Linked DNA regions of Bombyx mori. The protein of the gene in region 3 interacts with the protein of the main gene of each other region in a pairwise test. Links are inferred from orthologs where the notes say so. Each region holds a gene or a part of one and is shown on either strand. Other genes may lie near its edges. The genes, in order: tyrosine-protein kinase Shark, thioredoxin domain-containing protein 5 homolog and protein draper.

The links.
Region 1: the proteins of protein draper (region 3) and tyrosine-protein kinase Shark interact in binary tests that used the Drosophila melanogaster proteins (3 or more experiments, as listed by UniProt). The link is inferred for Bombyx mori from reciprocal best matches to the Drosophila melanogaster genes drpr and Shark.
Region 2: the proteins of protein draper (region 3) and thioredoxin domain-containing protein 5 homolog interact in binary tests that used the Drosophila melanogaster proteins (3 or more experiments, as listed by UniProt). The link is inferred for Bombyx mori from reciprocal best matches to the Drosophila melanogaster genes drpr and prtp.

The regions. Positions count from the first base shown.
Region 1 is NC_085111.1:13,528,075-13,539,080, reverse strand, and holds the start of tyrosine-protein kinase Shark, read left to right. Parts: upstream 1-4,675; 5' UTR 4,676-5,163; coding exon 5,164-5,199; intron 5,200-5,730; coding exon 5,731-5,827; intron 5,828-5,901; coding exon 5,902-5,978; intron 5,979-6,088; coding exon 6,089-6,297; intron 6,298-10,881; coding exon 10,882-11,006. UniProt on the Drosophila melanogaster protein: Following axon injury, required for recruitment of drpr and glial cells to severed axons and for glial clearance of severed axons from the central nervous system.
Region 2 is NC_085112.1:13,704,853-13,715,858, reverse strand, and holds thioredoxin domain-containing protein 5 homolog, read left to right. Parts: upstream 1-4,899; 5' UTR 4,900-5,015; intron 5,016-5,102; 5' UTR 5,103-5,390; coding exon 5,391-5,530; intron 5,531-6,072; coding exon 6,073-6,209; intron 6,210-6,324; coding exon 6,325-6,443; intron 6,444-6,789; coding exon 6,790-6,927; intron 6,928-7,777; coding exon 7,778-7,933; intron 7,934-8,742; coding exon 8,743-8,933; intron 8,934-9,637; exon of another isoform or gene 9,638-9,710; intron 9,711-9,882; coding exon 9,883-10,009; intron 10,010-10,381; coding exon 10,382-10,567; 3' UTR 10,568-10,612; downstream 10,613-11,006. Other genes in the region: serine/threonine-protein kinase Warts, read right to left, coding at 1-176, 2,156-2,407. UniProt on the Drosophila melanogaster protein: Possesses thioredoxin activity. Acts as a ligand for Drpr and is required for the phagocytosis of apoptotic cells. Binds to the extracellular region of Drpr and augments Drpr tyrosine phosphorylation.
Region 3 is NC_085115.1:6,513,665-6,524,670, reverse strand, and holds the start of protein draper, read right to left. Parts: upstream 5,492-11,006; 5' UTR 5,237-5,491; exon of another isoform or gene 5,107-5,236; intron 3,701-5,106; exon of another isoform or gene 3,533-3,700; intron 1-3,532. Other genes in the region: protein spindle-F, read left to right, coding at 9,927-10,656, 10,737-11,006. UniProt on the Drosophila melanogaster protein: Receptor which is involved in the phagocytosis of a variety of cells including apoptotic cells, severed and pruned axons, degenerating dendrites, salivary gland cells, germline cells and bacteria.

The DNA.
Region 1 (11,006 bases), on a different chromosome or scaffold from region 3:
CGGACGTCTTATCCTTTAGGCCACGACGATTTCAAACTGAATTAACTGCAAAATATAACTTCTGGTAGATAAGAACTGTTTTGCAAAATAGTATGTTAAAAATTAAAATTTACGCTACGGGTGGGAAGTGAAGGACGGAAGGGTCATCGACCGCTGGTTATCCGATGGTGGTAGAAAGCGGTGAGTGAGTCACCGACGCGACCCCGGTTCCATGCTGCCTTGAAACGTCCTAATGAAAATGAAATTTGGTAGGTACCTTTAAATTGAAACGAATACTCCAAAATATAGTTTAGTATTTTTTTAAAGTAACAAATTGAATATGAACGAATATTAACTGAGTATTTTATGCAATCATTTCAATATGATCTCAACATGGAGTTATTAAGTACAACACTAACTCTATGGATCTCCAATATTAAGCATCGAAAAAGCATTATTTTTATTACGATCAATTAAGACCTCCGCGATTGTTGATACAATAACATAAACAAACTCTAAGTAGTAGTTAAATATAAAAAGGTTCTTAGTATAAAAACGAAATCGTAATATTTAATGCAAAGGTGATGGTGTGTGATAAGGCACCTAAAATTGCTAAACCAAACTAATGTAGTGTAGTATGTAGTGAATGCATACAATAGCGTATTCTAAAGTCAAGATTCTATCCAACTCTGGTGTCAGAGAGACCAACGAAAGTAAATAAACATTGGCTTGCGAGGTAAACAAACTTGAAAACAGGTTTGTAAACATCTAGTACTGAAACTAAGTACTACTAAGCCACGTTACCTAGTTGTATCTACTTTCTACGTTTGCACAAATACCTTTGTAACAGTCAGAACTATTTATTTGAATTATGGAATGAATCATTAAATGGTCTGTGTAATAAGTAATATTAACCAAGGGCTGTAGGGAAACAACAATACGTCCATTAATGTAATTATCAAATATTTTGATCATAACATATCCATTTTTATTCCGAAAAATGACAAAACCACTTATTCAACTGGGAACTTTATTGGCAATGGGTGCGTGATCTTGGATATCTTGACATGTTAATCATCCATCCGTAGTAGTAGCAGAGGAGGAGTACTGGTAATTCCATTATTTTGCTACTTAACTTTTATTCTTGCCTTAAGTACTGGGTATGTTAAGAGCCTCTACAGATGGGTTCCACTGTCTTATGTAATTATTAGTATCTAGCAGTCATGACTCATGGTTCATCACATAGATACCAATCTGTGTGCTAGACTTTCTCACTTGCAACACGAGCAGCAAAAACTACGGTCAGAGGAGAAGTAAGTATTGTAAATAAACACTTTAAATAAAATAAAAAAAACACTGAACGTAGTGTTGAAATGTCCCGTGAACTTGATACATTCAAATAATTTCAGGGAGCTTTTATTGTAATTTAGAGATTAAAGACGATACGAAGTCTCACCGCAAACTCTGATCCTCACCCGAAATACTGAAAACATTGACAATGTTTTAACATGCACCGCGAATTAAAAAAACCGCAATCTTTTTTTTATTTTTAATGCATTTTGATCGGTTCATTATCTTAATTCTTTGATTCCTATACCACCGATCACGATCAGTTTCAGTTTTAGAAAGTAAATTATTTCACTGCAGTCATATTTTCTTAAAATCACCAAAATGTTAGTAAAGTGAATGAAGTTTTATTGTTTCATTATGTGCAACCCATACTAAAAATATTGACGCTTGCTCTTTATTTAAATATGACTGGGTTCTTACTTCTTCAGAACATTCTAGTTCTAAATATAGTGTGGAAGTTGATGGAGTTGGCACGACATTTAATCGGAAAAGATTGTATGTTGCAAGGAAGTCAACGATGAATATGTTATTATCCATACCGAACGTAGGGAAATCGTTTCCGGAAATAAAGAAAGGTCGTAGTGCTGATGATTTATGCCGGGGCCACTTTAAGAGATCGTGATAATAGTTCTACTAGTTAAGGCGTTCGTTGCAAATACTGCACATTGTTGTAAGAACTATGTACCATGTGATATGCCATCCATTGCCTGGGGCCGTCCACCGTCTGTATTCGTTTCATAAAACGAGATTAAAACAATCGAATTTATAGCCAATTTAACGAATTCGAAGAGTACCTCACATATTTTATCTATACTAGTATTCGCTCACGGCTCTGACTAGGTTTAGGCAAAATTGCTTATACCAGGTAGTTGATTGATTGCGTTCTTGGCATTTCTGGTGCCCCTGCGTAGCGGCGACTTCGATAGTCAACTTTCTTGGACAGTATTAAAAGATAATACTCCAATTTTTTTATTGCTTGTGTAGGCAGATGAGCATAATAATATGGCCCACCTGATGGTGAGTGGATACTGTCGCCCATGGACTTCAGCAATGCCAGGGGCAGAGTCAAGCCGCTGCCTACCGAACTAATAAAATAATCAATAGACCATAAGATTCACATAAAAAGGATGTTCAATTATCGTTGCGGCTGTCGTTGTGAAATAATATTTACTTTCTGCGAATGTAAAAGTATGTACTGAGAAAATACTTGAGTTGAATCATTCTGCGCCAGATAGGTATTCAATTGGTGATATTTACTGATCACGTGAGTCATCTGCGCTTTGCGAAGGTATATACTTGTACGTTATACAATGTGCCGATTAGGGCTGCCACAGATGTCCTTATTTATTACGATTTAATTTATTAGTTAATGATAATTATGTTTTTAAGCTGTTTCTTAATTTGCTTAAGTTTAATTTCACAGTTCATAGACTATGTAGCCTAAATATCACTTTCCACCTTGAAACATAAGATTGAGTTCAAAATTTTTTTTGGCGTGCGTAAAGGCCACGTTATGCTGCATTATTACTTTCCAGCAGAAATATATAGGTGTACCGTTCCCACAGTCTTGCAAGTTTAAAAGTGAATTAAAGGAGTAACAATAGAAGATTTTTTGAAAATTCTTCTACCATGAACAGATGACATGGAAGTAATAGCTGTAGCTTGAGAAGGCCACGATCACATTCCCTTAACAGTTAAGTGATTAAACTATTCAATAATAAAGTTAATAGCCCCTATTGTCAAAGTTATTCCTTGACAACTTTTCCTATTATTTTCAATACTAAAACGACAAACTCATTTTATAAATAGGAACCGTTGGCAAGATAATGTTAGTTCCTAGTGTTTACACAGTACTAGTTCTTTGATCTGAGTATGTAAACGTGCACTATATGCATACATACATATGTACAGGCTTGTCTCTTGACTGTATTAGTGAACTATACAACATTCTAGAATTTAATTTTAAAATCATTCAATGAACCCTTAACAAATTCGGTCGCCAAAAAGTTACTGATTTAATTTAAGCTTTCTAAAAATCTAGTATGTATATTTTATACGATTGAAAACTTAAAGATTCCAAATTTATTGATGTAGTTCTTACCGTAAATTTCACAAAAATTCTGATATTCAAAAAGGAAAATCGAAATTTGGTGATTTGTTACTAATAGTAATAACAATGAGAATATAGTTCATTATGTAGATACCTATTTCGTTTTACAAGAGTTGTGGTTACATTAGGTATCGATAAAATTAACATTTTTTTGTAGTACGAATTTATGTAGAATGTCGATTGGGAAACTGGAATTTAGAATTAATAGATAATCGAGTGATGCTTCAATCAAGCTTAATGTGCCTAATTGTGTCTCATTTAAAAACTATTACAGTATTTAGAAAAATGAATTTTCCCAACATTCTACACCTCACAAAAACATGGGTACCTTGTTATAATATGTTCATAAACATCATTCTATCATAATATGTTTTAGGTTCGTTTGCACTTTGAAGACATTGTGTAAAAAAAGATACAAAAGAAAAAGTTTTATAAGTGATTGTAAATTAGTATAACTTTCGTTCGACATTCAAATTTCGATGCAACATTCGATTAGAGTTGTATATGCTATCCATTGCTATCAATTTTCATGCTTTGCTACATCTTAGTTATTGTCTTATAAGACTTTGTTTGCAAATTCAAAACCATTGTCGTTCTTATATACTTATACATGGAGCTTAGAACAAAAAAACGCAGCCAAAAATTTATATGCCATCTTGATTTTCATTAGTTTTCGTTTTCAATGACTTTATAGCCAGGACACATCTTGTTAAATTGCCACAATGCGCTTTGGTCGAATAACTTAATAGTCACTACACAAATTTCGTTACGTGGTTGTTCTGTGACTGCTACGTTGAGTTGTGACCGGTCTCTGAGCTTTAACTGGTGGTAGGATATCGTTGTGAGCCCGCACAGGTATAACCATCCCGCCCATTTCTGCTGAGAAGCCGCGGCGCTGTCGGTTTGAGGGTTGGGGCAGCTGTTGTATTGAAAAATGAGACTTAGAACTCATATCTCAAGATATGAGTTCTAAGTTCTGGGTGGCGACATTTACGCTATCGATGTCCATGGGCCAGTAACCACTTAGGTAACAGAAGGTGGACGTGAGCTTGTCTACTCGGGATATTATGGGCCCACATGGGTAAGTATTTGTCGTGAAGAATTTTCATGTCCCAATTTTAAGGAAAGGACGGCAGTTAAACTTTCAATTCGAGACTTACGACTCACATCTGAAGGTGAGCGCCAGCATTTACATGTCTATAGAATCCGCTAATCACTTAAAGCCAGGTGGGCCGTGAGCTCGTCGATCTATCCACAACAAAAAATATCATAAAGTGTAAACCATAACATACTAAAAAAAACTTGTTTATTTTTGACTTGTCTGCTGCGTACTTACTACATGTAATTTTATTTTAAATGTTTGAAATATCTGAATAAGAATTGAGATTGTGTGTGAGGGAATGCGTACTACACATAAAGCGTTTGCGTTGTGGAACTGTGTGTGTACGTTGGTGTTGGTGATTCATTTCTCGGAATTGACCTTGCTATGAGTCATTCGCTGGAAGGCAGAGTCGGGGATACCGCGCCTGTCTGCTTGCTGCCGGCTGCATGGCACACGCACTCCGTTTGCTGTTCCTAGTTTAATACCGAGTTTTGTGTATCTTAATTAAAAAGTAAATTAAGTTGTAAAAATGTGCTATTATAGAAAACGTAGAAAATATCGTTAATCATAATTTTTATTAATACTTGGAAATATAATATTTGTGTTTTGGAATTTGGATATCATGATAACAACCATGACGTCATTCATATTACTTAAGGTAAGAAAATTATTACATTAATTGATCTATATTAATAATTAGTTATTTTTGCAAAACTAGTATTTATGTAGATGATGAATCATCCTAAATTTCTTATCAGTTTCTTATTTGACGATTCAGTTGTGACGTTTGACTTATAACCACATTTATTTAAAATTGAAACATGTTGGTGTTTGTCTCTCTTTAACGCAGACTTTGTAACGAAGTCGGAGGGAGATAAATAATACAGATGAGAGAAGACTTTAAACTTTCAATTTGATAGTATTATGGTAGGTAATAAACAACAAGAAAGAATGAAATAGAATGAAACATGGCGCGTCAGTATCAGTAATTACATCAAAGTTTTGACTTCTGGCAAAGTTTTGAAACTTCCCACGGAACATTTTGGATTTGATTTGATATGTTACAACAGATTAAAACTTTATTAATTGAGGATTAAGAAAAACAAATAAGAAAATTAGTAGTTTTAGGTCATCTGATGTGTGGAATGTGGTGCATACCTGTTGAACAAGTTTCCAATTAACTTTTCAGACAAACTCTTTTTTGTTGAGGATGAATAGAGAAGACAACGTTAACTGGTTTCATGGGAAAATATCACGTGAATCCGCTGAGAAACTGTTAAAAGAGGGTTAGTAAATAGTTCTTTTGTCATTGTTTTGAACAAAATAAAACTTTAAATATAACAAAGTTTTGTAATTTCAGAAGGAGAAGATGGTGTATTTTTAGTACGGGAGAGTAATACTTCGCCTGGAGATTATGTTTTGTCTGTTTTGCATCAGGTACACTAAATTTCTAATAAATTTGATAACCTAAAAAAATATTTTAAATAAAGTTTATTTGAGAATTTAAAACTGCTAGACAATTCTGAAATAGAAGATTTAATTTTCAGGGTCAAGTAGTGCATTATCAAATACGCAGACACGGTGAAGATGCATTCTTCTCTATAGAAGAGCACACAACTGTTCATGGATTGGATACTCTTATACAACATTACCGTAGTGATTCAAATGGACTTGTTACTAGGTTGTCCATTGTCTGTAAAGGAGAACCACCACCGCATGAGTCGAGGACACAGGGAACAACAAATTTACTGCACAGGTGTGTTTCAAACTCAATTTTTTTTTCTAAAGCCAAACACATTTTTTGACAGAGAAATTGAAATAAATTTAGTAAAATAACAATTAACTTACAACTGGATTTGTATATGAATTAAGACAACAAAGCACTAAGGCATTCAGACATCACCACTGTATCTCTAGTCAGTGATTATGCTAATTAAAGTTCTGAAATGGTTATAATTAAGTAATTAAGCTTCTGGCAGGCAAATCAGGCTTAGTAATGCTCATATCTTACAACAATGGAATGTGCATGTTTGAAATAACGAACGTGAAAACTCTGGCACAATTTTTTTTTATAATTTCTCTGATCTGTTTTACTAGTAATCTAAAAGGCACCAACTTATTCCAAGTTTCTTATGTCTTTGATTTAAAGAACTAATTTTCTAGATTTGTACAACAAATGCTTGTAAGGTGAATTATACAAATACAAGATAATTTAATTACAGCAAAGCTTAGAAAACTAAAATGAACTAAATTCTTAATTTATTTCATTCATTTCGATATGTTTTCATTGCTATCTAATCATATGCTAAGATGAATCCTTGATCACCAATTACGAGAAATTAAAAAATAAAGCAAATTTTCCTAAAATACAAGTAAAATAACAACATCAAAAAACTTTAATCAAATTTATTATTTTGGCTATAAGTTTCAACTTTACTTGAATAAGATTTAAATGTATTTACTATACAATTTTAAACAAATGCTATATCATTTTAGTATTGTGGATACTCAGTCAAACACACAGTTAATAAACTTGTTCAATCCCTTAATTAGTGATATCGTGACTAGTTCAAGAAGGATGTTCTATTAAGAAGAGGGTCCCGTAAATTGTCCTTAATTCCCTCTTGTGTTTTATTGTCTCAATGGATAGATAGATATCGTTTGAGTTTTTCAATTATGTTATGTACTGTTATTATGTTAAACTTTTATTGAAATAAAGCTTGAAAGTGTTTTACTAGGATAAATTATATTATTCAGGAAATATCTTATGATATTACGGATCATGGCTAGACTAAATTGATATTATTTCATTATTGTAAAAGTATGATATTATTTCTTCCTCACAAGAGGTTTGATCAGAGTACTCGGCAGTAGGCAGCAACTTGCCTGTACCTCTGGGATTGTTCATTTTTAAGTGCAATGGTGATTATACTTATTATCAGGCCCATATGCAAGCCAATTTACAACAGCAACAAAAAAATACCCTTTTTACTACTCTGTATCATATTATCTCAAATCACAAAAATCTGTGCAGTATTAAAAATGTTGCACGTTCCGAAATTAATAAAATCAACGATCAATTAGTACTTTAAAGTGTTAAAATTATGAGATTAGAAAATCTAAGGACTCCCCTAACACTTTATGTAAGCTAATATAATAATATATATTTATGTATATAACATAATGGGAATTAAATATAACTTTAAATTTCACTAAAGTTCAGTCTTATAATTTCCATTAACAAATGCTTAAAAAATTATAAAGTTCTCTTAAATTTGGAGAAAAAAAACTTGGATGTGACCTCTGTTGGATGCAGCTCAATAAGGTTATTGAACTTATTTCTTATTGTTTTCCCCTGTACTGTGCAGTCAGTGATATTATTTATTGGTTGCAGTCAAGTTTATTGATGATTTCCTGTTGAACCCGGCACTCAACTTGTTTATTCAATAATATCAGAATAATGAATCTGATTACAAATATGGCCAGTGCAATTTTGTTTCAGACGTAGAAGTAAATTTAATAAACCGAACATATATAAATGAAATAATTATAAACAAAAATATACATTACGATAAATAAATATAAATAAATATTTTAATAACAATCACGCCACGTTAACTGGTCCCGTGCTAAGTTCGTAAAGAACTTGTGTTACAGGTACCAGATAACGGAAATAAATGTAAGATTTTTATTATACACATACATATATTTAATATTTAATATACGTCCATAACCCTGGTAAAGACATTTATATTTATCATACAAATATCTTCCCTTGGCGGGATTCGAACCAGCGACCCCCTTGTGTAGTGACCATGTCACTTACCACTACACCAGACGGCCGTTGATATGATTGATTTATCATATTTCAATCGAGATTCAAATATTTATCGCTCAGCTAAAAATTAAACGATAATATTATACCAAAACTATTTAATTAATTGCATTTGAGCGTTTGTGTGCATTTCGAAATTTCTCTAAATATAAAAAAAAACAATCTTAAAATCTTTACAATACAGAGCTTTACTATCCCGAGTATTATAAATGTTATCGAACGAAAAAAATTCAAAACCGTAAGTCATCAAAATACAATCAGAGACGAAAGTTCAGAATTAATTTGTCAATATGATTAATATGCTCACATAGATTAAAACAATGCATTATTATATATCCAAACGGTCAGACAATTATAAATGGTAACAAAGCAATATTATTTCAACAGATCTCGTGTTTGTTTGTTAATGCGCATAAAAATTCTTGTCCCGCATTATGATGTGGTGACTTTGCAATCTGAACTGATTAGAATACCAAATGCGGTCCGATGTGTGTTAATTAAATATACGCATGTGTCAGCAAGCGTTATGTGGCATTCAACTGTTGTTGCGCTTTTTATATATAGATCTTTTTATTTGGTATACGTGTGTGTTAGGATCATTTTATTCAAATTACCTAATTAGAAACATAGTAAAATATTAATAGCAAACTCTGTTGAAGTATGTTTAAAATATATTTATTTAGAATCAATCCTCGTGCCCATTATTTATGTAAATATTAAAAGTAGGAAATAATAACAGACTAAGACTTATGATTATTTTATAACTTAAATTCTAATTTTATAACTATCCTAAAATTTGTTGACTTCCGCCCTGGCACAAAGAGGCGGGGCGTGATGTACGCAAAATGGCGAACGACACACTGATTGAGCGAGGACAGAAGCAAGACGTACTTTACAAAAGCGTATCGATTAAGGCAATTAGTGTACTTTAAAACCTATTTAAAGTTGTGGAAATAAAGGAAGTGTAATCAAACAGCATTTGGATTGTTTTTTTTGGTGAAAGCCAAAATGTGTCTGAGCTCACAAGATGTTAAGTGATTACCAGAATCTATAGACACGGTGTGAACCGCCCTAACCGCTTTGAAACAGTCGAAGTCTATATTAGAATACATACATACATGAAAACAATGTTCGATACGTAACTATGTACTTTGAAACTTTGTTCTTGTGCTAGTGTCGAACCATGTTACAACCATGAAATTTTATCTTATTTTTTGTTTATTACAATTCAACTTCTGTATACTTAGAATGCGGTTTATATGAATATGGAGGATTTTTCTTGTTTTGTCAACTACCTACTTCCTAGTAAAGTAAATAACATAATGATAAGAGAAATTAATAAATTTAGATCTTTTCACTTAGTAATAAATATAAGACACGAAAGCGTTAATATCGGAGGGCTTTCAGAGCTTATGTTTATTGAGATAGACTTTAAAGAGATAAAAAATATTATTCAATTTATAAAAAAAAAAACTTATGTATAGATCCCAATTAAAAACCTCCTTCTCATTTATAAAACCTACGCAAAGTACAAAAACTTGTTCATTGAAAATCGAAAACAAAATTGTTTCATTTTTTTGGTCGGACACTATTAAAGGTAGTGTTGCCACTCAATTTTTACATCACCTTTACATTATGTTTCATACAATACACACTCTGTTGTTTTTATTACCAAACTTCAACTTAAATATTGCCAATGGTCTTCGTAATTTCCTTAATCGTTAAAAAACAAAACCATTTTGTTTCTATTTACAGAATATTATATTTGTTGCGATTTTTTTTTTTTTTTGTTTGTACATTGCCTTATAATATCGAAATATCATACACATATTTAAATGTTATTGTCACTCTTGTGAATCATCTTTGTTTATGTTAATGATTCATTGTTAAATACAAACCTCATTGGACATACAAGCTGTTCTACTATTGTTTAATAATTACCGATTAATTAGGCACCACAATTACGTATGTGCGAATAGTTAGATAATAGTTAAGCGACAAAATCGAATGCATTCATTTGTGGGTTTTTAACAATACTAAATATTTTCTTTTTCTCGGCGTGAGATTAATTAAGAACAAGTGTCTCGTAAATATGATCTAGTAAGGAAATTTTAATACTACCTAATTAAAAACAACATTAATCTGTAGGGTAGAATAAGCGAACTAATCTTTCGATCCTAAGTTAAAAAATAAAGTGCTGTTTGGTTTTGTACTAAACAAGTATAAAATATTAACTTCTCTCTTCGAATGCACCCCATTCTTTTCTGTCTCTTGCCTTTTGCATCCAGTCTCTACCGCCACTTTGACCAGTAGCCGTGGCACTGACATGCGGTGGGGAACAAAAATACTGGAGTGGAGACCTCGTACTGGACGTCGTAAAATGGTAATTAAATGCTAGCAAAGTCGTCGTACCAACGGAATTGAGACCTCAATTGTAAATCTCGAAGCGGACAACATACCGTAGGGTATATGAAAACATAACTTTAGTTCCAAATCGATTTGCAGAGCAACGGAAGCGGGTCATTTCAACGTGGTGTCGAAGTTACTGGCAAGCGGCTACCGGAGTCGCGACGCCAAGAACCAGGACGGTCAGACCGCGGTGCACATCGCCGCGAGGGCGGGACGAGACA
Region 2 (11,006 bases), on a different chromosome or scaffold from region 3:
CCACGATGTAGATTTATCTCTCTCTCTAGACTAGGTTTCCGGATAAGTTTGGTGCCAAGAGCACTCAAGTTACTGCTTTTGAGGACGCCGTTGAGAGGTTCTTGCTGTTTCGACAAATAATCGAGAGCTGCATCAAAACGCCCTCCTGCATATTTGAGTGCCCTCACAGCTGGGTCCTGAAATGATTTTTTCTAAATAATATACTCATTATTCAAAAACAGAAGCAAAACAAGATAATGAAATTTTACCAAATTGATTATAATCTAAGTACACCGTGAATATCTCTTCTGACGGTGAGTGGTTACTAGAGCCAATAGACATCACAGCGTATATGCGCCGTCATCCATCTCGAGACAAGAGGTCTAATTTTTCAATTGTATAGTATATTAACTGTCCTGCCCTTCTAATTAGAGCATATTACTGCTTGACAGTAAAATTCGGTAGGGTGGTGTGCCCCACCCTGCAGCGGCAGGTACAAACCATCCATCTAATAATAAAAAATTCGGGCAGGGGGCTTAGGGGGCGCGTAGAGTATGTGGGTGTTGATGGTCCGTAGACATTGGGAGAGAACCGCAGGTCCAAGAACGTTTAGGGCCCTACCTACCAAAAGACTCTCCTTGCACTCTCTCCCCCAACGCCCGATCTTCGTCTGGGTCCAGTGCCCGAGCAGAGTAAGGGCAGAGTAACATTATAAATTAACAACCAACATTCGATCAATGGATAGTTGACGACCAACAAACCTAGTCTCTGTGTGGTAATATAATAATAATGGCATGGCAAAACTAGTATACCGAACTTCTTATGTAGATCTTGCTTGGAGTTTTTATTGTAATTTTGTTGTAGATTGTAATATAATTATTATCTTGCTGACTTATAAACTTTACATAGACAAACTATGTGAATATAATTCCTATTTTACCTCATTCTAATACTATTATATATGTTGAAAAAAGGATTTATTTGAGTACACAGTAATGTAATTTTTCGCCTGGGAAATTTATGAGAACAATTGTGAAAACTAAAAATTAAATTGATATTGGAGATCTTGAAAACTTCCTGCTATCAGTCACCGATGATACTAATAGCTAGAAGATACATATAATCCAAGACGGTAGAAAAAAAAGCATGTGTAGAATAATTTTAAAAAAATCTTTTTTTATCATTAATATTAGATTTTATTATTTTAGGCTTTATAACTAAGCCTATAGATCACAATAGGGGTTTTAAAAAATCTGAACACGAAGCTGAATTCAAAAATGCATTAAAATATTTGACAGCCTGCCCTTTAAACCAGAATACATGGTTAAAGTGTTAGGTATAGACAGAATATTGGTATATGACCATATTTATTCTCAAGACAATATGCATTTACAACATGCACAATACAATAATGAAAATAAAAATTAAAATCTTGTGTTTTTGTATTGTGAATAAATTACTTCTCAATTTAATTCTGGTCAACATTATATCCAAGAACACAACCTTAAGCATTCATTTTATAACTGTTATGACTATAAATTTGATTCAATTTAAATTATGTTTAACATGATTGTTGAAAATGAAAACAAACTACCACTGGTTTCATGATTGCCTATTCCTCATTCCACTGCAACCAGGCAATATGCAAGTAATTAGCTTGTACTTATAGTGTTTATGTTTAATTAAAATTTCTCAGTTATTGCAAATAACAATAACTTAAGTTTTACTCAAACCTGGTTAAAGATTGTCCTTAGCCTTGGTATTAATGAAAATGGACATTAATCACCAATAAATACTGATAATATCGGCCATACACTGCCTTCTACATTAAAAGTTGATAGTCTTTCTTATTATATTTTAATTGTATTATAAATTCCATGTATTTTTATATGTATATTTCTTCTGTGCGTGTGTTTGTCACTGAACTCCTCCTAAACGGCTGGACCGATATTAATGAAATTTTCTGTGTATCTTCAGGTGGATTTGAGAATGGTTTAGATTTATAAAGCAACCCGGCACTGCAGTCGGTATCTTTCCTAGAAATATTTTTATGGCAAAACAATGCCAGCCAGTTTTTTTATAAAAATTAAAGATAATGGAATAATGACACTAAAAAAACACTAATCATATCTGTTATTTAGAAACACTTTTAGCAATTCATTATAACTAAACTCACCTCATCATAACCCAAGGCAATAAGTTGGTTCAAGGATTGAGGTAGCACATTCAAGTCTTTATCGAGTCCATTTCCCGAAGAAGAACTAAACCCCGAACTCACTCCTGAACTAACTGTGCTAGCAGCTGATGAACCTGGCGGTTCAGAGTTTCCAATGTTCGCAAAGGGAAGCAATGAGTTTCTGATTTCGGCAAGCGCCTTCTGGTGGTATCCGGAGCGCGTAGCCGTTTTGCCGGGCGCCGGCGGGTTCATGGCGCCCGCGCCCGCGCCCGTGCGCCTCACCTCTCACCCCACGCCTCCCATCACATGAGCACACCCCACACCCTGTACATATCCTTGTTTATTATCCTCCGCACCATTTATTCAACACTCTAATTAAGACTCGCAGCACTGTCACTGTCTTTATTATCGAATTTATTTCGTTTATATATCGATTTCCTCACTAGTCAGTCTGTATCAACATTGCTTTTTGTGTAGCAGCGTGAAAGGTACTTTCTTTTAACTGAAAAATATTTTTAAATATTAGTACCTAATCAATTGAGAATTCCTCTTGCTTTAGATCCCTTAAATTTTATGTGATAATAAAATAATGAGTTAAATAAGTTAGATGAGAAAAGTTTGACATCTTGGCAACAGGATAGGGATATGATTTGTCGACTTTATACAGAACCTGTTTACAGTATCAGACAATTCGAGTACACAATTTTTAACAGTATCGCATTCTATCCAAGAGTACGAGGATGTAAGGAATGTCTAATGCGAATCAATCATGACATAGACTTGTGGAATTCCAAAATTAGAGGGAGCTCGGAAAGCAATGTTTCGTTCATTCAAGGCACTAAGAAGAATAATTAATTACTGTAATTCATTACCAGGCACTTTTTCACTTTCTGTAAATCCGTATTATATGCACAAATGTCATAATCCCATAAAATGAAATTCAGTTCGATCGACAGCTCTCACATTGCCGATGACATCTTTCTTGCACACTTAGTTTTGATTAGTCGCATTAATTTTTATACGGAAGAGGCAATCTGGAGTCGATAGAGTTGTGCTTTAAAGCGAGAGTTTCTAAGGAAATATGAAAACAAAGGACTCTAAAACACAGACATGCAAGTTGGCAAACCATACAAAGCGACCATTTTGAAGAATTACCACATTCTTTAGTGTGTTCGGATACACAGAAGATTAAATTCCATTTTGTTTGACGACTCTTTTTCGTAAAAAAGAACCCAGCTAAAGCACTCATCTGCTTACTAATGTAGGAATTTCTCTATTAAAAGTAATAATCAGACCTTTAAAAAAACACTTCTACAGAATTGTCGAAATGAAACTGTATCCGAATAATAAGAAAGTCACAGGCATGGAGTAAGTACCTAGTCACAGGACTCACAGCAAAAATCCTAACTGCAAAAATTCTAAAGAAAAAAAAAAGAGTATAACGGTCTAATTCTAAGACTGTTAAATTAAGAAATTTCTATCTGCTATTGCCTAATTCATTTTCTTCATAACAAGGTGACACTCTACAAAACATGCATACGTTCCATTGTGAAATAGGCTTGGAGTTAATAAGGAAATAGGTAAGTGTAGTGTTCGCTCACGCGTCCCGTTCACACATGAACTCTCTCCAGGTTATCCAATCCCATTTCTGCAAAATAGCCTTCGGAGCACCGTGGTACGTAAGAACTAATTAGTTTCTATCAGTAAAAACCTTATGGAAGCGTCGGAACGCTATTTTGATAAAGCGGCGTGCCATTACCTTTCCGCTTCTCATTACATATCCGACCCAGGCAACAGGGCAACCTAAAGCCGCCGTAGCCATTAACATATTCTTTCCGATCTTTCAGGTCCACTTTCAAAGATTCTTCTGTCGTTCGCTGTGCACGTTACTCTCTGCTGTGCTCGACGTATGAAATAGCTCATAGACACCACCCACTGAGATCTCGCCGGATCTTCACGGAGGGCTGTGATTCCGATCCTGTGTTAAATTCAACCAAGTACATCTCTACCTGAGGCCAGTGCTAGGAATTTTTTTAGGTTGTTGCTGTTGTCAAGTTGTGACTTTTTTATTTTTTTATTTACTGTTTCATCAGGTTTAGTATGTTATGACGGTGGTTTATTAACATTTTAGTATCTCTGAAAGTACACAAGGGTGGTTAAACGAAACAAAATAGTTGGATATTGCTTTTTGAATTCTTCCAAAGTCCATTGATCTTATCTTGTCATCCTTAACCTCCGAACTACCTATTATAATAGGCGGCGTGCGGCAAAATACAAACACCACAAAGCAACCAACGGTGGTATCCTTGGCGTCGTATCTCGCGAAAGTGTTGCAGGTCCCCGGTTAGGTGGTGAACAAATATGGCCAACGGTTCGCCCTTATTGGTGTTTGACGGCGATATATGCCGCGGCTTTCTTGTTGCGGTTCAAAGTCAACAGTTCAAAGAAGATCGTCGCAAATATTAACTCGTGCAGCGAGCATGAGAGGAAAGTATAAATAATACACATAATATCAGGAGAGCACAGATGAATATATTAGTTGGAGGAGAGTACAAAAGTTATGTGTATTATCTATGAGTACAACATTAAACGGACAATAAGTACGGCCTGTGTTCCAGCTGCGCCAGAACAATCCCGCACCGTGCCGGCTCCCTTAAGATTTTGTTTAATTCCAACCATTTTACTAATTATTTCATTGGTATGGTATTGTTTTATCTCAGTTCAGTTAATCCACATATCCTTCTTCAAACGAGGCTTGTGCAGAGTACTTAACGGCGAGAATACTTAACGGTAGGCAGCAGCTTGGCTCTGCCCCTGGCATTGCTGAAGTCCATGGGCGACGGTAATCACTCACTATCAGGTAGACCGTATGCTCGTCTGCCTATAAGGACAATAAAAAAGATATCTAATTTAATTTTTGATTCAATTTTTTATCAATCTATATCAGTTGACTTTCCACACAACAGACATAGATTCACCTTTGTTATAGAATATTACTGTGTATGTTATATGTGCTACGTTCCCTGTGCTGCCAATAGACAAACCAAACGAAAAAGTTTGAAGTGCTGTGCAGCAAAGCAAAATTTATCCAACAAATACGAAATTATTTGTTGTTTTAGATTTAACCTATTAGCTACTTAACTAATGAGAAGGAGAAAAGATATAAATGAAAACAACCTAAAAAAGTTACCTCAATTCACAGAGGCATTGTTTAGAAATATATTCCTTCACCACAATGAAGATATTACCATATCTATTTGTATTTCCGTATCTTGTAGCTCCTGAACAGAGTTCTGTTTACGAATACAATCCCAGTAATTTCAAATTCCAGATCGAAGAAATGGATGGAAACTTTATTATGTTTTACGCGCCATGGTGAGAACAATAATTGAATTTACATTATTCCTTTCAGTGATTAAATTCAAAACAATCTACATATTCATTTATTTATGATAAAAATTATACTAAATATTGAATCGAAACGATTTTATAAATAAACTTAATCTAATTTTCTTTAGTTGACCGAAATGTAAATGGTATACCGTAGTGACATCGATGAGGCCTATTGTGTGTGAACCTCTAATAGAAATTGAAAATACGAAGATCACAGCCAAGCTTCCGTTCAAAACAAAAGATTTGAATGCCCTCAATAAAAACGAACTGATGTGGGTAGTGGTGAAAAAGATCCTTCATACTTATTGACTAAACTACAAAGTTAGATGAGCATTTTTACAAAAAGGCTGACGACTGATTCAATGAGGGTAATTCACGATATAAAATTAAAAAAGTTGTTAACCATCCACAACTAAAGATGTGTTCCAAGAGAGTTTCAATAAAATACTGTTTGAAATTACCATAATATCTATATTTTTTACCATTACGGTACTATACCATTTACAGAAATTATATGTTTTAAGGTGTAGACATTGCACAGAATTTTATCCGATATGGTCAGAATTGGCAGAGCTGGTTAATACCAAGGACTCCAAATTTGCCATTGCCCAAGTTGACTGCACAGTGCATGCTAAGCTTTGTCATGAAAATGAAATAACAGGTACTTAAGTAAGCATACACATAATTTCCTTGTTTTTAAGTATGTACATAATAGAATTTTTTTTTAAAATAGGTACACTAGTTGATGGTGTAAATAAATTTGAAAAAAATTACAGGTTATCCAACATTATTTTATTTCCACAAAAATACATTTACACCAGTTGAATACAAAGGAACAAGGGACTTACCATCATTGACATTGTTTCTGAGCGAAGCCTTCTCTGTCAAAACAGAGGTGAGTAGTAGAACCATTTTGTCACTGTTGCTCAGAATTAAAAAAAATCATTCTTCATAATTCATTGCAAAAGTAGGTCAATGGGATTAAATTCTAGCCTACAAACATCACAAGATTAATGCCATTAGCCATAATCAGATATGAGGTTAAATACCAATGAGATTTATACTTAATTTAGACCATTTTGATGAATGGATATAAATGGAAGTTCTGTGTCAAAATTTATTAATAATATCACTTTATTATAATTTTTTCTGACTGACCTATCTTCATAGACTACAACATAAGAATGTGACTGAATATAAAATATAATATATATAAACCTGTATCCAATTTATTATTTCAGGGCAAACAATCAAAACAACCAAATGAAGTTAAAACATACAGCGGCATGTCCTATCTGAATGACCTGAATATTGAGAAGTTTGTGTCAAAAGGACAGCATTTCATCATGTTTTTTGTACCTTGGTGTCGTGCATCTCAGGTAATCCCAAACCTATAAAAAAATGATGTGGTACATTTTTCTATTGTAGAAATGAATGTTTCTACCATCAATGATGGGGATGATAAATTTTGACTTTGGTATGCAATGTCTGGCAAAAACTGTAGCACCAACTTACAAAAAAAATGTAGTGTATATCTATAAAGCAAAGCTTTGATATAAAGTTTTCAAGATTGGTTGCTATCATATAGACTAACTGGCTGGATACTATTTCAGTGACATGAGCCAATAAGGGTACAGTAGAGTTCTGAGAGAGATGCATGTACGTTTTAGCAAACCCCAGTACCAGCAGTGCTGGAGCCTCTGAATGGTGTTGAAGCTTTGCTAAGATGGCAGAAAGTAGAGGCCAATCAGTTATAGTAACTAAACTCTTGCATTGGATAAGATGGGCTGTAGAGGAAATACTCTTTTTTTCGCTTTGCCACTTCATTCTGCATTATCATGGTGTAACAGCAGAATAGCATTTGGGACCAAATTTTGTGTCAAATTAGGCCATTCTAGGAGAGCAAAAGATTTCATCTCTGGATTGAGGTCAATACACTACAAAACTGCTTTATTAGGGTTGGTGCACTATTTTTCTATTTCACAGCTCACATAAATCACTCGATCAGTTTTCAACTTTTTCATGCAGTCAATTACAACCATGATGCTCACTTATCAGTCAGTGACCATACCATCAGCACCAAGATGATGACCTTGATGGATCCCAGATCACAGCAAATAGAACAGCCAGTTTCCATTGTTATTTCTAGAATAAGGTTCATAAATATGTTTGCCAGAATGCAGAAGTACGACAATGATGTAACACACCACATTTATATTGAATTTTCAGAGGATGGCACCGATTTGGGCAGACTTAGCAGTACATTACGCTCACAACAACTACATAAAAATTGGAAAAGTTAATTGTATGGATAATGAGATAACATGCGAAAATTTTGAAGTCAAACAGTACCCCTATTTACTCTGGATTGTTAATGGAAAAATTGTGAGTATATAACAAGTTTCTAATGATTAAATTTATCTGAATAGATAATTTTTATTTATTTTCACTTCATAGTGGCACATGTTTTATTTCTGAGGATGAGGCAACCGTGTTGAGAGATGTGACTGTGCCAGTGCTCAAATGCCACAAGCAAGTACTAATTTTTCTAATGATGTAGTTCTTACCACATTTGATTAACTACCATAATGAAATATTAACATTGTGTACTAAAAATTATAATTTGCGCAATTACTGGTGGCAGGTGTGTCTCCTGAGCATGCACAGGTAGGTTTTACGATTCAGCTAATTTCTGCCGCGAACTCTTAATGCGTTACGATTTGAAGGGTGAGAAGCCTAGACAAGCTTTGTGGGCAAGGCTTGACTCTGCGCCTGTCATTGCTGAAGTCCAAGGGCGACGGTAACCACTCACAATCAGGTGGGCCGTACGTACATCTGCCTGTAAGGACAATAAAAAAAATACTATAACTGAATACACTTGATACTTAGACCTCATGTCTCAAGATGACCATTCGCATTGTGATGGCTTTAGATCCGGTGATTATTGAACGCCAGGCGAGCCGTGAGCTCAAGTCACCCAATAAAATTGCAAAAAAACACTTTGTAAATGCTATTTATTAAATTTTAGTCCTTTTTGTGTACTATCAAGAGAACAAATTAAAACACTGGAATATAAACTAAAGAACACTCTGTACTTTAATGGATTTTAATAAAGTCTAATAGATCCTCAAAGATAATATAGCCTATATCATATAAAGAAATAAGTTTACTTCTACTATTACTTTCTTCTACAGATGGGTGCTTCGAATGGGGAAAACTTAGACGATTTGAAAGCATTTGTTGAAAAAATGTTGCTTTCTGAAAATCACGATCCAGAGAAATTTCTAAGAAAAAAGAAAGCACTTCCTGTGGCCAGGATATCTGAGGAGACATTCGAAACTTTTCTGCAAAATGACTTAGTTTTTATTAATTATTTTGCGCCATGGTTAGTTAGTGCTTTAAAAATGAAATTATTGTTTTTAAATGATTCCTGGATTTTTATGTTTTCCATATTATTAATATCCTATATCAATTTAGAATAATTTGGAATTTTGCTAATGATGTTGTTTACCATTCAAATTTAAAAATATAACATAACAATTAAGTTAATGGGAGCTTATACAAAGTATAACAGTGTGTGAAAATATTTCTATCTGTGACTTTCCACAGTGCTTAGACTAATTTGTCGTACACACCATAAGTAAGTGGCGGTAGGTGATCACAGTGTTGCTGTAATAGTCTTAGTTAAATCCCTCTCTAAGAATCTGTTAGTCGCTTTTTGCCCACTCGAAAGTGAAACTATTCTAGGCCACACAGCCAGTGTCAGACACAGCTCACTGAGTTTCTCGCCGGATCTTCTCAGTGGGTCGCGTTTTTCCGATCCGGTGGTAGATTCTGTAAAGCACTGCTCTTGCTAGGGTCAGTCTTAGTACCTCTCCGGTTTGAGCCCCGCGAGCTCACCTACAAACGTTAGGGCGAAGCTGAAATAGCCTTGAAAGGCTATCAGCATAAGTAGGAAAAAAGAAAGTAGGTGGGACTGAACAATAAATGCTTCCGGGTGAGAAGTGTGTAACTTAAACTAATTCTATGACTCAGTGATACTGCCAGGATTATAGGCAATTCAGGGCAAACAGTTTGAAGATCAGAACAGTTTGGAATTAGAGGTTTATGAACATGATGAGTATCGTAAACTCATCATGTTCATAAACCTCTAATTCCATATACACTGCAGTATTCTACAAATAGGCATTTTTTCATTTTATTGCATTTACTGTTTTATTTATTTTTGTAATAGTTGTTATATTATTACCTCCTGTGTCAAATTAGTATATAAATCCTAAGTCCATAGTCCAGAATTTGATGAGAGTTTGTACACTTCCTTGGTTTGCTTACAGGTGCGCACATTGTATGCAGTTAAGCCCATTATGGATTAAATTAGGGGAAAAGTTCCAAAACGAGACAAGAGTATTGATAGCAGATGTTGACTGTGTGCAGAGTAAACCTATTTGTGAAACAGAAAAGGTATAACACATTAAATTCATTATAAATAGGATTCTGAATTTCCGCTTGAAACTTCTCATCTCAAAACCTGGCCTAACTATTAAATGTGTAGTACTGCGTATGATTATAAAATCAATTATAACGACGCTTGAAAGGCAAACATGACTAAGCGACAATGCGTGAACTTTTCAGTAGAGTAATTTAAAATTTAAATACCTGAAAAAATTATATTTTAACGAATCTAGCTGTAGGATTGATATGATTTTAATAGACCTAGAAATATAATTTTTTTGCGCATCGAATATGGTTATTGCCTATCATTTATGTACAAAGCAGTTATTATCGCTTAGTCACGTTTGCCTTTCAAACGTCAATAATATATATATTTTTCAGATTAATGGACTACCCACATTAATATTGTACAGACATAAGAAAATAGTAAGTGTAGAACATGGTGGTAGACCTCTTGATAGTCTGATTGGACTCATCACAGAGCATTTACAAGATTCAGCCAGTACAGATCCAGAAGACAAGACAAATGAGGACATATTTTTGTCAAAAGCCAAAGACGAATTGTAAATGTTTTACTTTAGTCAAGAAATATATTGTGACTGTTGATTTAAAGGATTGGTTTTATTATTATTGATTTTATAAATTAATGTTAAAAAAAACCATGCATTTTGGTTGATGAATTCAATCGTTCCAATTAGTTGTGTCGGTTGCGATTTTCATCTGTATCATGGATGTAAAATTGCAAATGCTTCTAAGATCTTATTAATTCCAAACCTAAGCTCCATTTTATAGGTAAGGGCATGAGCCACTAAAGATATTTGAACAAAACGGATGGCTAGGTACAAGATGTATTATTTTATTTATTTCCTAGATTGGTAAACGATCCACCTGGTATTAAGTGGTGTTAAACTTCACTATGTGCATGCAGCTCCATACAGGACATCCATCGATTATTTACAGAATATATAGCAGTGTCCACCACTGTGAGCTTATATCTACTGCCACT
Region 3 (11,006 bases):
CGACGCAAACATCTATCCGACACTGCGACTCTTGGGATCTTCTGTGTATTTTCATCGCCCCATCTCCAAATACCACCCGCATGAATCCTGCAAGGTTTGGAGATACGGACACACATAAATCCTGGTCTGAGTAACCACTGCCCGAGATGTTCATTGTTGTCTTTGTGAGACTGTAACACTCAAAAAGTATGTGAATTCGTTGTTTCGACCTCCTCCAGACAAAAACAGTATGTTGCGTTGTCAGCTAAGTTCATCTTGCGTATGCACTCCTCAGTGCCAAAAAGTGTCTCTGAGGGTCCCAAGCAAACGTCTTAGCTAACGTAAACAACTTTTTGGTCTTGTCAGTTTTAATTTCTGCTGTGCTGTTATTTTAGAATTTATTGTTGTTTTTGTAATAGTGCCTCAGTATGAATATCCTTATTGCTTAACCTTATACAGTGTTCAGGTTATTTCTTTGTCCGATCCTGTATTTCCCAAATCATAAGCCTTCTCATGGCATTAACATGTACAGAATGACATTGTTGTGTGAGAGTTCGTATGCACTTCAGCGTCAATCCGAGGCTGGCTATCGCTGAGAATGTAGGTTATTTTATATAATATTTTCATACATTTTCAGTTCATAGCGTATATCTTTGCTTAAAACCGCATACATATTTTCCAAGCCTGCAGTAGTTGTAACAGTTTATATGTCAGCTCCCGTTTCTGAACTGGTTCTAGAACCATCAGTGTACCGGTTTAAGCTGTTCTCCTTAGGTGAAGAAAATCCTTTCTGCCATACCATCTTAATTCCCTATTAGTCTTTATTTATCAACAGGTTAGCATGGTATCAAACGTTGTGAACGAAAAGTTACGGTATTGTACACATACCGAATGCGAATATTGCGAAAAAAAAACCACTTTAGTTGTAAATAGCTAGTCAAATCCGCCCCGCTTTGCTGGCCGGTCTTTCATATGACTTTGATTTAATTGCCACCAACATTTTCTATGATTCCGGCTAGGCCAATGTAAAGGTTTCATCGAAGAAAAATTTCATCGAAATCGGTCCAGAGGTTTTGTAGTCTACAGGGAACATACACACATCGACTTTTATATAACTTATATGGATAGAAACATTTTAAAAATCCGATCTCAGACAGATAGGATTTTGTCTTTCTATTCTTCTGTCTCTTGGCAGAGTAGTCGTGGTCATCATTTATATCTTTTGTATTATATTTACTTCAGTTAAATCATTAATACAATGCTGTTTTTCTAGTACTGATATTTTTATTTTACGTTCAAAGTAAAATGCGTTCTCTTGACCTGAGTGCCTGCTAGTAGGTACTCGTAGTTGTTGGCAAATTCATCGCTCCGTCATATCCTTCGATAGTGGGTGGGACTGTGGATAAAGTAGGCCGCATTGAAGCACCTAGTCGTCGAGCTATTGCCGATTCCATTTAGACGGACCACTGAATGTGTGAACTTTTACAACGTATGTAAAATACTGTTTGTATTTTGTGTAATTTGTAGTCGCTAGGAGTAAGATTATTTTAATTTCTAATTTAAACTTCGATAAATACATACATTTAAGCAGATAAATTTTATTCACATTTAATCGTTTATCAAAAAAGTAAATACGCATTGCAATTTTTAACACAACTATTTTATATATGTATACTATAAGTATACTAGATATTTATGGAAACATGAACCTGAAATTCGGAAATGTTTTGCGACGCGTGTAGGCTTTGTAAATATGTGAATATGTCCGCCTACGTACTAAGCTGTATGACTAATTTACTGACGTCACGAAGAATGCGATTATTTTATTTATGTCGCTATTCAATGAAGAATGTCCAGTTACATGTATAATATAAGGGAATAATGTTTAGCTTCAAACTAATATTTCCGCATGTTATCTGGTACACTACTGTTTGGTTAAATCAAAATCTATCTTGAGTAAGATAGATAATACAATTATACAGATAAGCTACAAAATTTAAAATTTATTAAACGTTTTATCTTACACCACACAGTTCGGTTCATAGTGTGATATTATACTGAATATTGCTGTCAATAATACTCTTTTTCTGACCGCATCGAACTGATTTATTTATAATACTATATTATTGAGATATATATACAATTTTATATTCAGTCTGTAAACCGTCTGTACACTAAAGAAAAAACTTCTTGATGGATGTATCAACAAGATTTTTCTTTACTATTCCTATTTTTATTATACATATATACTAAATACACTAAAACTCTAAAATACGCTAAAATATATTAAAACTCTCTGACGTGACGATAAATGTATTAAATACATTAGTCTTTTTTTAAATACTTCCGCGTTATTTTGCGTCCTTGATGATATTAATACAAAAACCTTTACTTATGTAACAAAAATTGTTCCAAGTTTTCAGCTCAATCGGATAAATATAATGGTGCGCAAATGTGCTCCTTTTAAATATACTAGTCTTCGCCTTCTAAGTGAAATTGTATAATAAGCACAAACACCTCAAGAGTCAAATTATTTTTTTTGTTCTATTTTTCTCTATGGTATAACATTGTCAATGTTAATAAAATAAATTTAGACGTAACTGAAGTTCGTCGATACCTACAAAACAAAAAGAGGAATAATATTTTTGACAAACAGAGGAGATAATGGTATCTACTTACCTACCCGTTTTATCTTTACCTATTTAGGAATGGATTAGACTATAGTATTTACACCCCCGATTACCTTCTTCGCCAACCCATACCCTGGGCCAGGAAGGTCAAGTACCTGGGTGTCACCCTGGATGCATCCATGACATTCCACCCCCATATAAAATCCGTCCGCGACCGCACCGCGTTTTTTCTTGGCAGACTCTACCCCATGATCTGTAAGCGGAGTAAAATATCCCCCCGTAACAAGATGACACTTTACAAAACTTGCATAAGGCTCGTTATGACTTACGCGAGTGTGGTGTTCGCTCACGCGGCTCGCACACATTTAGACACCCTCCACCCTACAATCCCGATTTTGCAGGCTAGCCGCCGGAACTCCGTGCTTCACGAGGAACGTTGAACTACACGACGACCTGGGCCTCGAATCAATCCGGAAACTGAAGTCAGCGTCAGAACGGTACTTCGATAAGGTTACGCGTCATGATAATCGCCTTATCGTTGCCACCGCTAACTGCTCCCCGAATCCTGATCCTGCAGGAGCCAGTCACCGACAACGCCCTAGACACGTCCTCACTGATCCATCAGATCCAATAACACTTGCATTAGACGCCTTCAGCTCTAACACTAGGAGCAGGTTGAGGGACCCCGGTAACCGTACTTGTCGAACTCGGCAAAGAGTTCGACGTGCACCTAACCCATGAATCAGCCCGCTGAGTTTCTCGCCAAATTCTCAGCGGGTCGCGATTCCGATCCGGTAGTACATTCAAGTGCCTAGTGTCTTCAAACTTAAAAATAAAATAAACGACTCGCGTCTTTCCCGTAAATTTTTGTCGAATTTTAGTGAGCGCAACAATTAATACATACGGTGGAACAAACAATTTACCTTTACATTTAACTATATGCCATATTCCTTTACCGTTATATTCTCATGCTCTATATATTTATTGCGGACGTTTGAAACGTCGTATTTCAGTGATGTAACGTGGTATGTGGACGAGAAACCCACTAATTGACCATAGTGTCGCTTTTTAATCCAAGCATCCGATCTTCACTGAAACAGCTTGTAAACGGCAAGCGGAGTAATAAATTTCCCCAGTTCACCCTTCGCAATGTCCCGTCCCCCCATCGACCGACATCAGTGTCATAACGTGATATGTTAACGTAATCATAGGTCCTCTCAATTGGTGGATTATATGAAGACCACCTTGAAGGAGCCTCATTAATCCCGGGGTACCATACCAAGAACCGACGTCCTTAATCTCGCCATTCCGTAACTCCATTCAACAACTCAAGTTCCTCTACCTCCTACAATAAGACAATGGTTTCACATAGAAATTAGTAATTTTCAACTTTCGAATTCCAAAAATTAGCAACAACAGGTGGGATTCTACTCTCGTGATGAGAGGCATTGTACTGCTTGTCCAATGCAGAACAAACAATAAGTATGTATCCATATCCTTGCAACCGTGCCAGGGCTCCATCAGTCAATAGACTATTTTCATGTAAATATGCATGTAATGCTATTTTTCAAAGTTACAAATCTAAGTACAGTTTAAGATAGTATAAAGTATTATCTGCAAATTTTTTCTGATATTAAAAGTATTTTAAATTTTTCAACTTCAAATAATGTGGTGCACAGATGTTGAGTATGAAATTTGGCACATTAGTCATAAAAACTTAAAATACTTTTCTTAAGCAACACGTGGGAGATAACGAGTGCCTGTTTTGACAGTTTCATTATTATTCCTAGTATTAGTAATTTTTTACATCACATGATCAGTGATTGTTATGAATCTTGGAAATTCTGCAAGTTAAACACTGCCTTACACATAACTAGAGAACATGGAAGACATACTGTCAAATTAGCAGGTCATTAACTCCAGAAATACATTGAGGGTTTAAATTCATAAGCAATCTGGATTTACTTCTATCACTGTTGCAATACTGGTGCTTTTCTCTCTAACTGATTTATTAATACGTTGAGGCCATGGAAACCATTGTTGGTATGGAGTTCAATACAAATACAATCTTCATATAATGAGAAAATATGTTAGGTACTGTGTTATCAAAGATTTTTAATAAATAAATATAATAAATAAATACTAATAGTTATTACTAACACATTACATTACCAACTTCAGAATAAAATAAAAATGTATTGTCAGGACTAAACTTGACAACAGCTATCAACTAATAGGTAATGAAACAGTAATAATACTTGACCAACCAATGAACACCACAAAATAAAGAAAAAATATACTTTTAAAATATTAGACTACCTTGAAAGTAGGTCAAAGGATAGATATGTGAACTACATTTATATTTTTATATACACTATAAATCTGGGTTCTTTAGATTTTTATTTAATACATAATATCAAAGCCATGTCTAATTCTTGCTCTCAATTTAGTGGAAAGAAAGGTAGCATTAAAAATAAATATTTAATTTATGAAATACCTGATTAATCAATGAAAACGTATAGTTTAGTTACTTTTTGACAACGCATAAGTGGAACGCTGCTCCACAAAATTTGGCCAAACCCAAAACTTGAAAAGTTCAAAACAATAAACTTTAGTAAAATACTTGCGCCAAGTTGTCCAACACTTCGACGAAAATAACACAAACAATAAAATATTAAATTTTAAATATCAAGTTCAAGCACTCGTCGCCGTATGATTTATGTAATTCTCACGTTTAATTGTTGAGCTAATTCATTGTTTAATCTGTATGCATTCTTAATAAGCTTAGCTCTGCACAAAACCACAATTTTTATCAAATATTTCACATCTCACGGTAATAATTAATGATGGTGACGACCTCAAGTGTATAATCTATGGTGCCGTCGGTGCCGAGCACAGATTAGTAACTTGTAACTGTTGATGGCATCAAGTAGGTTTACTGAATTTGACCCCCTTTTTTTGATTTTCAGATTTTTTTAATTTTTAATTATTTGTTCGTCGTTTGTTCATTAATATTCGAATGTAAAAATTGTTCGTCTCTTATTTATTTATAATTAATTAAACAAATGATCACACAAGTTGGCTCTCTTTACTAGATATTTTTATTTTTAGCGCTCAGATTAATTAATTTTGATCAATTATCGTTTGTTCGACGACTATTGGTGATTTTTCGATCATAAAAACAATTTTATTTTATATCTAATAAGCAAACCATCACCTCACGCCTACATTGCGCATGCGCCGCACAGTGGGTCGATTCTATGATTTTAGTGACTTAGGGACCAACTTTGTTTTTTTATAAATTTTTTTATGTAGATAGATAGAGCTCGTTAATCTCAATAATAATTGTTTTGGGCAAAAATTACAAAAACTTTATAGTTTGGTCAGAAAAATGTGTTTTGTGATTTTTTTGTATGGAGCGGGTCACATCAAATTAAATTCCTGCTAAGTACCGCGAGGTCCCGCTTTGAAACTTTATTTTCCTTATACCTTGTCTAGTCTACTATCATTTGATGCTATGAACATGTGCATAAAGTTGCAACTCTGCCAAATAAATGGATCGAAAAAAATTTATAAATACATAGAATAAAAACCTTTATATTTTTTTTCGTAAGTGCTTTTAAGTTAAATTTGATATGGATTAGTAAGTAAAAGCACGTAATGATACCCATAATTACAAAATACCTAACAACAATACATTTAGTAGGTCTCTAATTATGCAATCTCTCTAAATATTATATATTTTGTTTCACCTTTCGATCTTTGGGTCAGAAGACGAAAGAAGATTGTGTAAAATATCCTCATTAGTCGACGTTCTACTTCTCATTCTTGAATAACATCTCTCTGTATATTTCCGAAAATCTTTATTGCGAGCTTCCGCTGCCTCTTCCGAGAGTTTACCTATACGAATGGCACCAAAGTTCTTCATTATTATATATCACTGCCATGTGCCAACAATTTATGGATACTGGAAGGCATATATAATACCAGGGATATACATTAACATACAATTCTGCAGTATATCTAAAAAATTCCGAAAAATTGGAAACGCGCTCTCCAGATGCAACAGAGTGAAGAATCACGTGAAGCCTCTCTATTAAATCTTTACGTATTCCTGTTATGCGGGCTGTTTCTTCTGCATCCCTGAAAAATCTTCTGGCAGTATTGCCATCATTGGTTGTTCCTACTCCTTGCTTGACAACATCTATAAGTAAACCGCATTCCTTTTTAAACGCTTGCTGTATAGCGCTCTTTCTGATTGATATTTTTTCTTTGTCATCCCCCCTTGCAACCCCATTTCTTGAAGTCCAAACGATAAGACGCAAACAAAAAAGTGTCATATAAAAAATAATCTCACAGGAAACTACATACTATGAAAAAAGTAATAAAATTATATTTACCGATATGAAGTAAGCACTCCATGCATCTTATCCAGGCATGTAAAGATGGCATTCCATACTGGAATATTTCTTCATTATTTTCTCTTTGATAAGCAAGTCACTCCAAAAAACTCTGACGGTTTTGCTTTGCAAATATCACAGACAGCAGAAAATGTTTCTGAAAAATATGAGGTTATTTTGCCGTCTATCATCATCATGTGCAATTGATGCTTAACTTCAACTTGTTTGATTTTTGATGGCTGAAGTCTTTCTATTTCTTCTGTTATGCTAGCTTTTATAATTGTCACTGTTGACTGCGTTTCTTTTGTAAATTTAAACATTATTGGACGGCAATAAAAAGTTGATGAGGTCGTTTTCCCAAACAATTGTTCCATCAAATTTCTGAAGCCTTATAGGAACTAGACTGACCATGAAAATAGATGAATCATCAAACTCTGTTTCAGTTTTCTGTTTATAATTACTTTGACCTGGGGCTCTATCAAAGCCTATTTGCTTATAAGCAGTAGCTCTCTTGCAGAGTCCAAATCCGAAGTAATCACATCTAAAAGCCTATATAGCACCAAGTTTAGTAATGCTTGCATTTTAATAGCAGCTCCTTCTTCAGTAATAATTACCTCGTCTTTCCCTGGATAACATTTGGTCTTTTCTTGCTTAATTTTATATTAAGAAGGGTATAAATCAGACCCATTTTCACTTGCTGCTTCTCTTAGGTTTATATACTGCCACTTAATTTAAGTGAAACTAATATTGCCTTATCGGGAGAATATGTACTACTTTTCACTTTACTTGTAATTAAATACTCATTAACTTTTTCTAGATCTTCGGGGTGATTTAACAAGTGGTTCATTATTTCTCCTACATCTTCATTTCTAGTGTTTCTCAAACTAGTAATTGTAGTAGCTTTCATTTCATCCGGGGATAACGAAAGCGATTGGTAAATTTGTTCAATGCGTCTTCGTTTTTGCCTGGATCCCAATTCTTCAAAAGGTTTTCGAGGTGCAAAAATAGATGTCGAGGCTTCTGTAGTACATTTGAGGGTGGTACATTTTCAACATCTTCAGTATTAGAAATCTCGAGCCTTTCATGTGCAGTGTTGATAGCTTCAGGTATCATTCCTTCGGGCCAGTTTATTGCACATTCTAACCAATCACATTTTTTTCTTATAAACTGTGCTAACATGCGACTACTTCGTTTCCATATTGCACTTATATTTGAACAAAATTGCGTACTGAATTTTCGGAGCTCAACATTTTTCTCTTCGGTCACGTTTATTTGATTTTGTAGGAATTGAAAGAGTTTTTTATTATCAGACAGCGACTGTAGTTGCTCTCTTAAAATCATAAATAATCCTAAATTGTTAACAAAATTATCAATTATAACGGAAACAGCAAGATCACAACGACAATCACGAGATGTTAGTAGTAGTACGAATAAACGAACACTAGTTAGTATATAATAAACACGGTCACTTTATACTTCCAGAGACAAACAAATGTTTACTATATTTTCTACTACCCAGTAATGGCTACTTAACTAATTATCCTCATTAAATAATGTTAACTATCTTAATAATTAGAGAGATTGCATAATTAGAGACCTACTAAATGTATTGTTGTTAGGTATTATGTAATTATGGGTATCATTACGTGCTTTTACTTACTAATCCATATCAAATTTAACTTAAAAGCACTTACGAAAAAAAATATAAAGGTTTTTATTCTATGTATTTATAATTTTTTTTCGATCCATTTATTTGGCAGAGTTGCAACTTTATGCACATGTTCATAGCATCAAATGATAGTAGACTAGACAAGGTATAAGGAAAATAAAGTTTCAAAGCGGGACCTCGCGGTACTTAGCAGGAATTTAATTTAATGTGACCCGCTCCATACAAAAAAATCACAAAACACATTTTTCTGACCAAACTATAAAGTTTTTGTAATTTTTGCCCAAAACAATTATTATTGAGATTAACGAGCTCTATCTATCTACATAAAAAAAATTATAAAAAAACAAAGTTGGTCCCTAAGTCACTAAAATCACAGTATCGACCCACTGTGCGCCGGTTTTGTCAGTTAATAAAATATTTCATAATTGGGAATTTAATTGTTTTTATGATTGAACAATCACTAATAGTTGTCGAACAAACGATAATTGATCAAAATTAATTAATCTGAGCGATAAAAATAAAGATATCTAAGATATATAAGTAAAGGAGGGCAACTTAAGGGTTGAGGGAGTTCATATAGAGTCCCTTCTTTATTTCGCCGTAAAGTCGTGTTTTATGTAATAAGTACCACAGTTGAAACAATATAAATTTTATTGTTGTAGCGGCATAAACAATTCTAAGTAATTATATTACATTAGTTATTAAAGACGTTATAAATTATTTTTACGTTTTAAATATTTGGCGGTATTTTTTACCGTCCCGTGTCCCGTGGTCCCGTGTCACAGACTATATTCCTTTCTCCACCTCTCGTGCGTTCCGGCCCACGCATCATAAAAATGTGCGTTCATAAACGCTACAGGGTGATCATTTGTTTAATTAATTATAAATAAATAAAAGACGAAAAAACAATTTTTACATTCAAACATTAACGAATAAACGACGAACAAATAATTAAAAATTAAAAAAAAAAAAACGGAAAAAAAAAAGAGGGGCCAAATTCAGTGAGCCAGATCCACCTCTGTCATCATTCTTGTCATAGCTCATAGATTAAACTCATAATATATTTGTCATAGATTATAGTTGATTATACACATAATGTCATTTAATAACTTAATTCTGTCGTTATTGTGAAACAAAAAAGTTTAATTCTATGTACACAGTTATGACATAATTTTAGAAGAAAATACGGGGTGAAATTATGTACTTCTATAAAATAATGTTGTTGTAATGAAATTGTTTTAGGAAATAATGGATACTTCTTCAATAGTAAGTTTTAATAACGACTCTACATTCCAAGCCACTCTTAAAGGCGACTACAATCACCACAGTGTTCACGAGTTGGCTCTTCATGCCATGAGGGATCGTTGTCTATTACTACAACGCAGAATAAATGTTTTGGAGAATGACAACATGCGCTTAAAACTTGATGCTACAAGAAATAATGAAAATATTGCTTTTCGTGACGATGACAAACTTGACCTACTCCAGAAAATAGCTGAGCTTAATAAACAGAAGTCGCAATTGATGCATCACGTTTTTATGGTGTCATGTGAGAATAGAAACCTATGGAATAAAATATCAACTATCAAGAATTGTAATAAACCTAATAAAGAAAATGTCAAAAACCCATTAGTTCGTACCAATACCTACATCCAAAGCACACCTAAAACAAGTGTAAATTATCAAGAAAAGTATTCTGAATCAAGCTTGGAAGAAATATCTCTGAAATTAATAAATAGCTATATTCAGGAAAAGTCAAATTTAGTTGATCAATATGAACAAATGGCTCAACTTCATAGGGATGAAGATATGTTAAATGTAGATTCTATTGGTTTTACATACTTAGAAGATCCTGCAATGGAATCTTTAAAGGATATTATTTCTCAGACAGAAAAAGTGCAATCTCTGAGAAAAGAGGTAGCTCAGCAAGAAAATGATCTTAAACTAATATTAGCAAGATTTGAGACTATTGTGGCAGGTAAGACAGAAAGGTAGAAAGATATAAAATTTATAGATTCCAGAAACTATTTCTATTGATTCTGTTTGTCTTCTTTGCAGAAGGATATAAGTGTCCAACTTGTATTACAAATAATACCAAAGTTGTGTCTTCAGAAAATAAACAAATTGAAACAAGTGATAGTCTTATGAACTGGGAAACACCAGCTGATTCCAGTTCTTGCAATAATAACTTCAGTGATATCAACACCTCTGTTATAAAAGAAAGTATTATTGAAGAAAAAGAAGAAGATAACGAGCCTTTTGATAAAATATGCCCTATGTGTGGACAAACATTCCAAAAAGATACTGAGTTTTCAGAGTTCAGAGTAC